Drosophila melanogaster: one gene and its partner. The protein of the gene in region 1 interacts with the protein of each later gene in a pairwise test. Each region holds a gene or a part of one and is shown on either strand. Other genes may lie near its edges. The genes, in order: Psf2 and Ctf4.

Region 1 (3,235 bases):
TTAGAACACGTATTTGTTAAACTGGATTATATAAGTCTTTTTTTTTTAATGTACCCACCTGGCCCTGCGTTCCAACTCATCGGTCTTCGGATCTCGGATAAGCACAAACGGCAACCGATTGGATACCACGATGAGACTCGCCTTGGTGGAGGGCTCCCCGGCATTGGTAACGATGATTTCCGTGTCGGGCATCGTGATCCTTGGTAAGCTAGCTGTAGAAGAGTTAAACGAATCTTCTCCTGCGGTCAAGTCTAGCACATAATTTTTGACAACAGCGTATGGGAAAATTCGCGGATGTGGAGGTTAGACAACCGTCTAGTTCAAATCCAGGCTTATCAATGAACGAGTCCGTTCTTCCGAAGCGAGAGCGACCGTTGCCGAATTTGGTTCGAGATGCGCTGATCGATGACTGAAGACTGCTCGAAGCCAAGTCAATCACTGCCTTCTTATCAAAGCTACTCTCAGATGCAATTCTACGTGGAAATGGCAGGCAATTTTCCTGGCTGATTGGCGGTGAGTCGATTACGTTAGTTTCGATGGTCGCGAGAGCCAGCAGCTCCGTACCCTGCCGAAAATAGACAAGCACTAAGCCAACTAGGCGATCAAGTCGCACTTTTCTGCTAAAAATTAATGCCAGCCAGCCAACCCCCTCCACCCATTCCATCATGGGTTCCACAGTCCACTCTCCGGCTTATCAGAAAATCGTCCGGCATCTGCTCCTCTCGCGCTGATTACATTTTTCCCAGCGGATGTGAGAGAATCGAAACCTGCGCAGGAGAATACCTACCGCTTCTGTCCTGGCCTAGTGGCCAAGTGTTCACCCAATTGATCCTTGAAGGGGTTAGATGTCATGGGGATGTGATCTGAACTATCGGTGCCGCAGTTTACACACCGCAGATAGTTTTCTAGAATTAACTGGCCGTGCCTGGTATTATCAGCTCGGGAACATTTCACGGCAACGACGGCCACAACCTCATCATCCTCCGCCTCCTCCCCCTAACCACCACCCATCCCATTCCATCTCATCGATGTTGTCTCTCGATGCGATAAGTCAACAAATCGATGCTGTTGTTTACGCTTCGGGCTCAGCCTTATAAAGAACATCCGAATTGTACACAGAAGATTTGTATTTCTATTTTCGTTTCTCTATCGAAGTTGTCTGCAGATTGCAGTTGAAATCTGTTCAGTTTGGGATTCCAGCTAGTGCAGATCTAACCTTGTAATGACCGCCATTTCTGGAGTTCATTACCGGGCGTATAGTTTTATTTGCCCGGAAAGATACAAGACCGATAAGGCTATCTAGTGCATTTTAGTCTCGGATTTTACGGCGAAGTGGTGCAAGGGATTACGCCCGGGCAGCTTATATATTATAGAACGGAAAACTTGGCTGAACTTGAACGCTTGATCATGTTTGGCATTCATGCGCTTATCACGATGCCCGGCTGGCGTTTTACGTGATTCTTGATAGTTGTCGTCGCCTTAGCCGGAATCTGCAATAACACATTCGCACCGGGAGAACAAATTAGTCAGCTCCATCGGTTGTAGCGGTGCAGCAATGCGATGCGATCCGATCCGGCCGGCGATAGTGGTAATGATGGTGAGATAACCCGGCCGAAGGTCGCCGAATTACGGTTGGCATATTTATAGTGGCGAACTGTGGCTATTATGTCGCAGAAGTCTATAGTTTGACGTGATTAAATTGACGCAGAGCCCGCAGGCGAAAGATTCGTGATGCAAGCAGATTGTTGGGAAAACAACACCGTTATTAACGGTCAATAGCAGAGCTGGGCTGCCAGACTGCAGAGATCACTGGGTCGATAGCATTGAGATCGATAGCGGACAGGTGTCATCACTGGCCGCTCGAGTGACCGTATGTTCCCGCATTTGTTTTGTTTGTTTATAGCAATTATGGATCCTTCAATTATTGAATTTATTGGCGAAAAATGCATGATCAGCATAATACCGAACTTCAGCAACGAGCCTCTGCACCTGATATACGGACCTGTGGGCCCTTTCCGAGCCGGTTTTCCCGTCTTCGTGCCCCTGTGGATGGCCACGCATCTGCGCAAGCAACAAAAGTGCCGAATTGTACCTCCAGAATGGATGGACATGGATATATTGGAGGAAATCAAGGAGGAGGAAAAGCGCTCAAAGTATGTATGATGTGGGTATGCCCGTGGAAAGCAAATCTTATTCTCCGCCTGCCCATAGGTTCTTTACCAAAATGCCCTGTGAGCATTACATGGTAGTGGCCCAGTTGGTCATGAGCACGGCTCCGGATGACGTTCCGCGTTGCGAGGAGCTGCGCACTGTGATCAAGGACATCTTCGACATACGCGAGTCCAAGCTGCGCACTTCGATCGACGCCTTTATCAAGGGAGAGGGCACATATGCAAAGCTAGACAACCTCACGCTTCTGGAGATCCACAGCGTGAGACCCATTCTGCCCTATTCCCTGGACCACATAGCACGGTACCAGCGCACGGCCACTGCGTCTCAAAGGGACACCTCCATGCTAAGTGCATCCATGGCAGGCTCCAGTTCGGGTCCGAACAGTAACTCTCTGTTTTCTCAGTGATTATTCCAGTCAAACAACATTGTTGGGAACATTTAAGATAATAGATTTAGTTATTAGCAGGAGCTTATGTAGCCTGTAGTCATTAAACCTCTCAAAAGTTCAAAAATATTTGTATGCTTAAAATTAAATATAAATGCTTTCAGAAAATTAAAAAAAGTAATTAGAATTAGAAGTTTTTGATAAGGCATTTCAAATTCCGATAAATTTCTTTATCGATATGCGCTTATCTAACAGGACTGCGCCTTACAGCACGACAGCAATTTAACAGCAGCTGCTATCATATAATTGCACTGTATCCCTGGTTTTCCACGAAGAGAATAACAATAACTTTTTTATACAAATAAATAAGGATAAAGCGAGATGAGCGAGTCTGCGGTAGCGGTGGAGCCGGAAGAAAGGATGGTTGCTAACAACAAAATCCATTTCTCCAAGGAGGTGAAGCAGGTCATCGACAAGGTGAGTCAGTGGAACATATGTTGGTAGCAATTACCAACCCAATTCGAATGTCCATAAAAGGTTCTCAAAACGGACGATCCGATGGATGCGCCGGACTTCAACACTGTGGACTACATCAACCAGCTCTTCCCCAACGAGCAATCGCTGGCCGGTATTGATGAGACCATCCAAAAGATGCAGTGCGAGGTGTCCCTGATTGAT
Region 2 (9,428 bases), on another chromosome or scaffold:
GTTCCTAGGTGATGGATACTCAATGAAAACGTTTGAGAGTATCACTAGCTTAGCCACCTCGCCGGCGAATAGCAGCTACTCGCTGTACAGCAATGGATTTGTGGTGACCACTATCGATAGTGAACAAGATCCCGCCCGCAGCCAGAGTATCCACAATCTCAGCTACCTGCAGACGCATCCAGCTCTGCCGCCCAACGGGCTGCAGCATATGCGGCACAGCTTTAGCAGCGATAGCGACAGTCGCAATCGCATCGATCTGGATCAGGCACTGGAAGTGCTCCAGCGACAGCAGCTGCCCCTCCATCCGAAGACTCCCAGCAGCCAGGTGGTGTATATCGTGCAAAATGGAGGCGGAGGCGGCAGGTATATGGACGGGCATCGGGATGCTGCGGATGATGATGACGATGATGCGCTGAGCGTGGAGAACACACGCCTTTAATCTTAGTTGATTCGTATTTCGTATTCTTTCTTTATGTAGTTAATGTTTGTTTTGCCCACTTGGTTTGTAAAACGCATATGCCAATAACGAATTCCTTACCCCCCCCCCCCCCTCAAAAATCCCCTTAAACATTCGGTAGTAATATCCACATGTACTTAGCTTTAATTTTTGTATTGTCGAACCGACAGAAACCTGAAATTGTTATTCATTTGCTAGCATTCATCGATGTGTGTATTTAGTGTTTCTTCCACACTCTTTCTTTTCCCCTCGCTCTCCGATATTATCCAACCGAGAGTCTCAACTTAATATTCCAAATACTTATAACTCCTAAGACTCCAACTATTCCGTTTGAAACTACGTACAACGATTAATATTTATTGCTAACCGCCTAACTTCTTACCCACAATTCCACAATACCTACTAGCATAAACCAACTGATTAGGTAACTTAAGCTTTGCTCTTGCATTTACTTTATATTTGCATTACAAACAAAACTCAACTTTTAGTTTATGTTAAAGCCAAAATTGTAGCTGTAATCTAATTGATTAGCCAATAATTATATATGATTATACATATAGCGAAACGTACCACACAAATAAATATGATTTTGTACTGAAAAGAACACATTTGCCAGCATGGTTGATTTCGCAGTTAGCCCAATATATACAGTTTATTGTACTACAATATATGTTTCAGGCTAAGAAAACAGTATTAGTACGAAGTAATCGACTCGATTTGCACCTCACAAACAAGTACAAAAAACACAAGAACACTAACACAGCTAACAAAAATTTCACATTGCCACAATCACAGCCACAATTGAAAACTAAATGCAATTTTCCAAAAACCAAATTTTTTTCCCAACGCATTGGCAACACGACGAACTGGGATTGGTCAAACCAAATCGACAAAAAATACGAAATTCCTATAAACGCAATTTATTAGTTACGCTTACCGTTCCCGAGGATTCGCACTCAATACGAAGTTCGCTTGCAGGTACTTCAGTTGCCTCGCACGGCTCCTCGGAAACGATGTCGCTGGAGGACAACAAGTGAGTATATATCCATAGTCGGTTACAGTCAAAATAATCTTGGTCACAATCAGATCTATAAGATCTATAATTTCCATATTATTTTGACTGTAACTCCTTGAAAGCATCGTTAGGCTCATCTTCTACGACCACATCCTTTGTAGCATTCACCTGAGGACCGCCAACATGCTGCAGAACACTCCGCAGCGCGAGATGCTCCTGGGCACCTGACGTCAACTGCCGCCCGCGTCCGTCGCGGCGCAGGCAGCTGCAGAGAATCGCCAAACACTCACCACAGCCACCTCTGCGGGATTAGCAGTAGCAGGAGCAACGGAAGCTAGCCCCACATCCTCACCGAGAGCTACGCCCACACCGCCGCCCGTGCCGCCGAGATCTCCGCTGTCGCTGGGATGACTAGCAAAGCAAAAGGCGGCGGCCAACCGGAGCGGGATCACCTAGTTCCTGGTACTAGCCGTCGTCTGCCTTTGATTAGCCTTAAGTCTTCAAGCCCTGCCACCGCTGCAAACACTAGAGCTAGGCCTTCCATGGGTGCAGCCAATAGCAATCACCAAGCTTCGAGAGAATGAGACCACACACACACACACTTTGTACATACACCGCGGGAAGCTTGGGGCACGACTTGGTAGTGACTTAGATGCGCCAAATTAAATTTACAACAGTTACGAGTTAAACAATTGATAAAAGCAATCGAGAATTACATAAAATACATAAAAACTGCTAATGGAACAATATTTAAGCAAGAGCAAATCGTATCTAATACAACTACAAAGCGGTTAGAAGTCTATTTAATTGCAAATTGAATTCAACTCAAGCATATATATTATAGAAATTGTTGTAAATTGTACTTGTATATACGTACCAAACAAAATACAAAGCAACGTTAAAAAGTTACGTCCATGAAATGCAAACGAATGTAAAGGCGAAAGGCAACCAAATATTAATTGAAAACTATAGATAACAGAATCGTACGATTACGCTAGATTTATGTATAGTTATACCCTCATAGCAGTACACGAACCGAGCAAACTGACAAATGAATTGAGTATTTACCATTAATTTCATGATTAAACTTTACACAAACATGAATCACTAGTTTAAGTTTCTCAGCAAAAGGAATTATGTATATTTTAATTTAAATTATGTTCAACAACGTCTCCAAATAAAACTGTCAACTGAAGCTAAGCTAATCTCCCGCTTTGGTGTCCAGCTTGCCGCCCTTTTCGATAATCGACCCTAGATCCTTGAGCGACACCTCACCGGTTCCTCTTTCCAGAGGCTGTGGCTGATTGGGACCGGGTTTCCAGCCCACAAAGTAGATGATTTGGAAGGTTGCAGGTATCCCCTTCTCGTTGGGCTTTGCATACAGCTCCTGGTAGATGGCACTGGCCGCGAGCATCGTTTCTCGACTAAGATGAGCGGGTCGATTGAATGCAGCATTGTTCTCTGCCATACCCTTGAGATCCCACATCAGTTCGAACATGCTGGGATAGCCGATGACCAGTTCATCGGTGTCTATTGTCAGCATGGTGAAGCCGGCGCGATTAAGCAGGGAACCAATATCCCTAATCTGAGTGAAGGGCGAGATGTGCGGAGATATGCCACCTTTGCGCTCCAGCTCGGCCAATTGGAGCGAGGAGCGCAGCTCGTAGAGGGTGTCTCCACCAAACATGGAGGCTATAAAGACCCCATCCGGTTTCAGACTCTGCTTAATTCTGACAAAGCAGCCCGGCAGATCATTCACCCAGTGCAGACTTAGGCTAGAGATGACCAGATCCAGTGAATTGTCCTCAAACTGAAAGGGATTCTCATTTAGACTTGCAACTTTGGTCTAAGTAGATTAATTACCCACATCCAGCTGCTCTTCGTCCTTAACTAGTTTCACCATTTTCAGACCCGGAGTGCCCTGTGCCTGCTCCAGCATCGTAGCACTGGTGTCCGTGAGCGTCAGCTGCTCCACACTCTCCGCCAGAATGTGTCTGGACAGATAGCCGCGACTGCATCCGATATCCGCCGCCGCCTTGAACTCCCGCTTAATGTCGAATACTCTGTCAGCCAGGCGGAAGCCGATCTCCTCCTTCAAGTAATCGTATAGTCCAACGTCTTCGCTGTATACGTATATTGTTTACTAATTGAATATATACTCTAATCCTGGCGAGAAGATCTCACCTGAGTGCGGCCCTTTCCTTCTGTAATCTCTTGGCATTGCGGTCAAATATATGTTGCGATGTTTGGGTGAGTGAGGATAGGGCGCGGAGTTCACATTTGACCTTTAAGGTCGATAGTTTTGTTAATTTTCTTAACATATTCCGACTTTTGATCAGAGCAGTGCTGTAATAAGCAACCGGCTGCGGGAAAATGAAAATATTACATTTTTAAAATGGAAAGTCGAAGTATGTATACCCTACATGTCTTATATCTTGTGGATTCTTAAATTTTTCTATTTATGAAAGTAATACCAATGTTGTTTAAACAATTGAAACGTCATGTGTGACTATTTACAAATTATGTATACAATGTTTCACGTATTATTGAATTTAAATTATTAACGGGAACGTGGTGATATATTTTTTTTAATATTTAAAAAGAAAGAGTATTGAACGAACAGCTGTTGGCCAGTGCTGGAAAAGAGCGACATCAAGACATTCCCATTCGGCCGTTGGCTTACACTGTTAGGTAGTGCCTATTTGTTTTGGCGCCAAAAGTGACGGGAGGTCATCGCGAGAGATCAATTGAAATTAAGCATTAAATCACATCATGAGCTTCTTGCGCAGTGCCCTGCGCTATGCCCACACCAATGGCTACACGGGACTCCTTTACACTCCGCGCGGCGAGTTCATCATCACGTGCGGCACAGATGGAGACATCCGGCACTGGACCTGCATTAGTGACGACGATCCACGCTCAAGTTGCCTGGGCGAGTTCGTCATGTGCATAGCCCACACGGGAACCCGTTTGCTGGCCTCGACGGATCGGAATACGATCCATGCCTACACCTTTCCCGAGATGGACAGCGATGGCATCCTCATGCGATTCACGGCACCGGCTACGTGCCTCAAGGTATCCGGTGGCTATACTGCTGCCGGCAGCGAGGATACCACTATAAAGGTGCTTAAGGGAGATACAGCTGGCAACGAAACGGTGCTGGAGGGGCACACTGGTCCCATTCTGGCACTGGACTTGTTTGCGGAGCGAAAGCTGCTGGTTTCCGTGGCCGGGGATGGCCAACTGAAGGTGTGGAACTTCGAGGAGGGCAAGGAGCTGAAGACCATTGGGGGCTTGCCAAAGGTCAACAGTTTCGAGAGCGCCAGCCTGTATGGCACTCCGCATTTCGAGCCACAAAGCGGTGAACTTCTGGCCTATGCCGTTGACAACGAGATTGTGGTCCTCAACACGGCCAACTGGGAAGTGGCCTTTAAGCTGCGCGACGACTCGGTGTCCAGTAACTACAGCTGCTGCCAGTTCTCGCCCAATGGTGAGCGCCTGGCCGCCGGAACAACCAAGGGCGAGGTGAGCATCTTCGATGTAAAGAAACGGAAGGCAGTAACAGTGGAGATTCCGCCAAGCGACTGCAATGCCATAACATGCCTTGCCTGGAATCTGTCCGGAGAGGTGGAGGTGGCCTTCTGCGATGCCACTGGCCAGCTGGGAACCGTATTTCTTGGCGATGCAGTCGACACAGGCAACGGCGATGGATTGGTGGACGACCAAGCCGAGCTGTTGGGCGATGACTATGAGTTTGAGGCCGGCGATGACGTGGACACTGCAGCAGACGACGGCGATGGCGTTAGTCTGGAACAGCTTAAGCGCAAGGTGATGAACTTTGCGGATCCCGTAGATCACGATGACGCCTCCAACCAATCCCTGGACAGCAGTAGCCGAACTGTACCTGCACCCGTTGCCCCGCAAATCAAGCTCTTCAAGCAGCAGACGGCCTTTCAGCCCAGTGCCACACCGGCCGATCTAGAGCATCGCTACATGGCATGGAATGATGTGGGCATTGTTACCGCCCATGTGGAGCCCTCAGGCGATAGCTCCATCGATGTGGAGTTCCACGACGCTAGTATTCACCACGCTCTACACATTAGTAACTACAATCAGCACAATTTGGCCAGTGTGAGCAGTGGAGCTTTGGCATTGGCCTCCAACGAATCCAGCAAGTTAGTAGTCATTGCTCTGGCCGCCGCCGGAAACAAAGAGTGGTCACTCAGCCTCCCGGATTGCGAGAGTGCAGAGGCTGTTGTGGCCACGCGATTTCTAGTGGCTGTGGCCACCAGCTCCAGTTTTCTGCGTATCTTCACCGTGATGGGTACACAGCGTGAGGTGCTAACCATACCAGGACCAATGGTGGCTATTGCTGGACACGAGCACAGCCTAATGGTTGTTTACCACAGTTCCGCGCCCAGTCAGACGCAGCAGCATCTCGCCGCGATGTTGGTGAACATAAATGGATTGAGTTTGCGACAAGAATATCTGCCCGTTCCGCTGACTCCAGGCCGGCAGCTCACCTGGTTTGGGTACAGCGACACCGGATCGCCGAGTATTGCCGACAACATGGGTCTGCTGCAGTTGTATCGCCGGAGCAGCAACGCCTGGTTCCCCATCTGCGACACCATGAAGCAAAGCACCAGTGTGTCGCACAACTTCTTTGTGGTCGCTGTATCCGAGAAACGTCAGATAGTCCAGGCGGTCCTGTGCCGCGGTACCTCCTATCCCATGACCAATCCGCGTCCCATGCTCCAGGAACTGCGTATGCAGATCCCGCTCTGCGACGTCGAAGTGGAAAAGTCCGAGCTGGAGGATGCACTGCTGCGGTCCAGTCTGATGCAAATGGATGGGGCAGAGAAGATGCAAAAGGAGACGGCCATCAAGCTGTTTGCATTGGCCTGCAGCAGCGAGTGCGAGACGCGAGCTAGGGAATTGATCGAATCGATTGCCTGCACTGATCTGCTTCAACTGGCCGTGAAATACGCCACGAAACGTGGACGCATCCACCTGTCCGACCGTCTGTGCGAACTGCTACCTCAATTGGAGGCGGTCCAGGAGGCACGCAAGCAGCAGACTTTGTTGGGTGCCAGCGGCATTGCGGCCACCATTGTTCTGCCAATGACTCCCACATCGGCCTCACAAAGCGGCCCAAAACCCAAGGCCATCGAGCTGAGCTCGGCCAAACGGGGCACCCTGAAGAGATTGGTCAATTCACCCAATATGTTTAAAGCAGCAGCAGCATCGGCAGCATCCCGGCCCTCGACTCCGGATATCACACCCTCTCCGCTGGACACCCAGGAAAACATATTCGGCGAATCGGAATCCGAGGTTCCCATGGGTAAAGCCACCGATCACCGGTCCCCTTTGAATTCGGTTAATCCCTTTGCTATGAAGCGCAAACTGGGCGACACTGGAGTCATCTTTGGATCCGAAAAGCTGAAGCTGGCAAAGAAATAGTCTGTTTGTAGATTGATAAGTAGGTTTAAGATAAATATATTATATAAATAATGTGTAACGTTTATCCCATTCTGTGAGCTACATGTAAAATAACAAATTTTTATTTGAGCTTTTTATGGAACAGAATTGTTAAGGATTAATTTGCTTATTTAAATTTAAAGAATAAAATATACTTTTATTTATATTAAAATGTATATTCTTTAAAAAGCGGAGGGTACAAGTTTATTTAAAATATGATCAATATATTTTTAAATATTTTAAAATTCTACAAATTAAACATTCTGGTCTCCAAAGAATACCGTTGGTATTTTTATCTTTGGAATTAAACCAACCAAATAGTGTGACCAAACTTTGTAAATGACATTAATCGATCGAAACGATCATTTTAGGCTGGATTTTCCACGACTTTCAAGTCAAAGTTATGTGTTCGTTTAATTCTATTTTGTAAATAAGTGTTACACGCTCAAATTCCAACATAAAATTACACACTCATACACATAGGAAAAAACACAATATAAAGGTTAGAAATAATAAGCAAAAAAGGTGCTAGATATATCAAAAAAATAAATATATATATTTTTTAAATAACAAACTAAATTGACAGTTACATACACGTATGTAAGTATTGCGGCAGCGAGTGCTTCCTTTTGCGTTGTTTACGAAATTCTCGCCACTGGAAGAAAGCTAAAGAACTCCGTAATGAATTTCCAGTTCCAGCGAACTGATCACCGCTATTCAGAAGGCTCTCTGCTGCAGACGCAAACACACACACAAGCAGGCAAACACACAGGGACATCGTTAAAATCTAAAGATGGAGAGACTCTATTTCCAATTTAATGTTGAATTAGTTTTCGTTGAAGCCATTTTTTAACCCAACAACTTTTTTAAGAAATCCCCGTCTGGGTAACCCGTGCATATAAAACCCAACGCTCGCGCATCACTCTCTTCATTTGTTACCTGAACGTTACGCCGTGCATTTCGATCGTCAGCTGAATAGTACATACTATATCATATATAATATTTCAACGTGTGTGTGTGTCTGCGTCTTTGCGTTTTGTTCGCGTCAAATAAGTAACTTAATTGCGATTATTCGCAACAACAATTATCGATCCTACCCTTTTTGTTTGAGTGAGTGTATTACAATAACAAAAACATAGAAAAAAACAACAGGAAAAAATCAGTACAAAATAAAGAACATCAAGCCAAAATGACAAAAAATAAAAAGAACATAATCAACAATAACAATGGCAACGCAACCCCGCCGGACTTCCCAACACCGCCACCGACGCCACCGATCAATGCCGGTATCAAACCGCCCGGCACCTACGCCAATGGAATGCCTCGCAAGCCGACGGTTCCGTGGGGTAAGCTATATACTATGTATATACTATATATGATCCATAACATCGGATCACTTTTCACGGGCACAGAGCGCGAGTTGATGGGCTCGTTTTTGCTGGAGATGGCCAGACTCCAGGTGATAAGCGCCCAAACGGAGTGGTACGTGGACAAGGCCAAAATGCGAAAACTATTCGAGGTGCACTTGAACGCCCTGCCCAACAGTAGCGAGATTCGTCAGAAGCTCAGCAGTCAGGGAGCTACGAATGTAAGTTGAATCACATTGATAATGCCTTATTGCTATCCTATTTCCTGTACAGTGAGCACTGCCAAATGAGCTTCGGTCGGGGTTGCCTTAGAAAACTAATAAATTGCATTTTGTTGGTCCGATATGTACATGTGTAGGTCATTCTTTAAAATATGAAATATAATATATTAGGATAAGTATAATCGGATACAAAATGTAAACATGCCTTAAGTTGCTCAATATTCTCGACATTGCATTGCAGACCACTCGATTTCGCTAGTCAAAGCGCGATAAGACTGATTTCGTACTGTATGTATCTATATATGTATGTATGTGGCTTTCCTTTGTCTCGCTCCAGTCCAAACATTTTCCCCGTATTATCAGAGCAACTTTACAACTATTTGCACATACATACGATCGACGTCGTGTGCGATCGCGATTTGCTCGCTTGAGTCTATGAGTCATCTGGGTTCTGGGTTTTGGGTTTCCCCTGCCGGATTATTCTTTCTTTTACACTCAGATGCGCGGAATCTTTGCTGGTACAGCAGCAATCTGATCTAAACAAACGTAATCATTTGTTTATAAATTATAAACATTAACAAATGTACATGCATATTTTGTATATGACTTTAAGTGGATTTCAACTCAACTCAATGCTGAGAGTTCAGTTTAAAAACAGAAATATTATATTGTGTCAAGATCGTATATCTATAGCTCTATTGTTGTGACATACCGCACTTATAGCGCATTGTAATTATTTATGCCGTTAAAATGAAGTACATAGTAACAAGTTTACATCTCCTGCATATGGGTTTTCCATTTCAAAGGGATCGCAACTCGTTTGGGAAAACAGCTTTAGGAAAAGAACACAAAAATTAGAAAAGGAAAATCTGTCATTGTGTATTTCTCTT

Evidence for each region.
Region 2: the proteins of Psf2 (region 1) and Ctf4 interact in a two-hybrid assay, tested with the Drosophila melanogaster proteins (one study listed by BioGRID).

The regions. Positions count from the first base shown.
Region 1 is NT_033779.5:4,385,682-4,388,916, reverse strand, and holds Psf2 (partner of Sld five 2), read left to right. Parts: upstream 1-1,560; 5' UTR 1,561-1,597; intron 1,598-1,846; exon of another isoform or gene 1,847-1,903; 5' UTR 1,904-1,908; coding exon 1,909-2,153; intron 2,154-2,211; coding exon 2,212-2,578; 3' UTR 2,579-2,735; downstream 2,736-3,235. Other genes in the region: Tps1 (Trehalose-6-phosphate synthase 1), read right to left, coding at 59-192; Vps53 (vacuolar protein sorting 53), read left to right, coding at 2,939-3,034, 3,095-3,235. UniProt on the Drosophila melanogaster protein: The GINS complex plays an essential role in the initiation of DNA replication.
Region 2 is NT_033778.4:13,978,052-13,987,479, reverse strand, and holds Ctf4 (chromosome transmission fidelity 4), read left to right. Parts: upstream 1-4,162; 5' UTR 4,163-4,244; coding exon 4,245-6,932; 3' UTR 6,933-7,118; downstream 7,119-9,428. Other genes in the region: RN-tre (uncharacterized protein), read left to right, coding at 9-439; CG8067 (uncharacterized protein), read right to left, coding at 2,674-3,282, 3,340-3,595, 3,657-3,793; CG6701 (uncharacterized protein), read left to right, coding at 8,140-8,296, 8,363-8,538.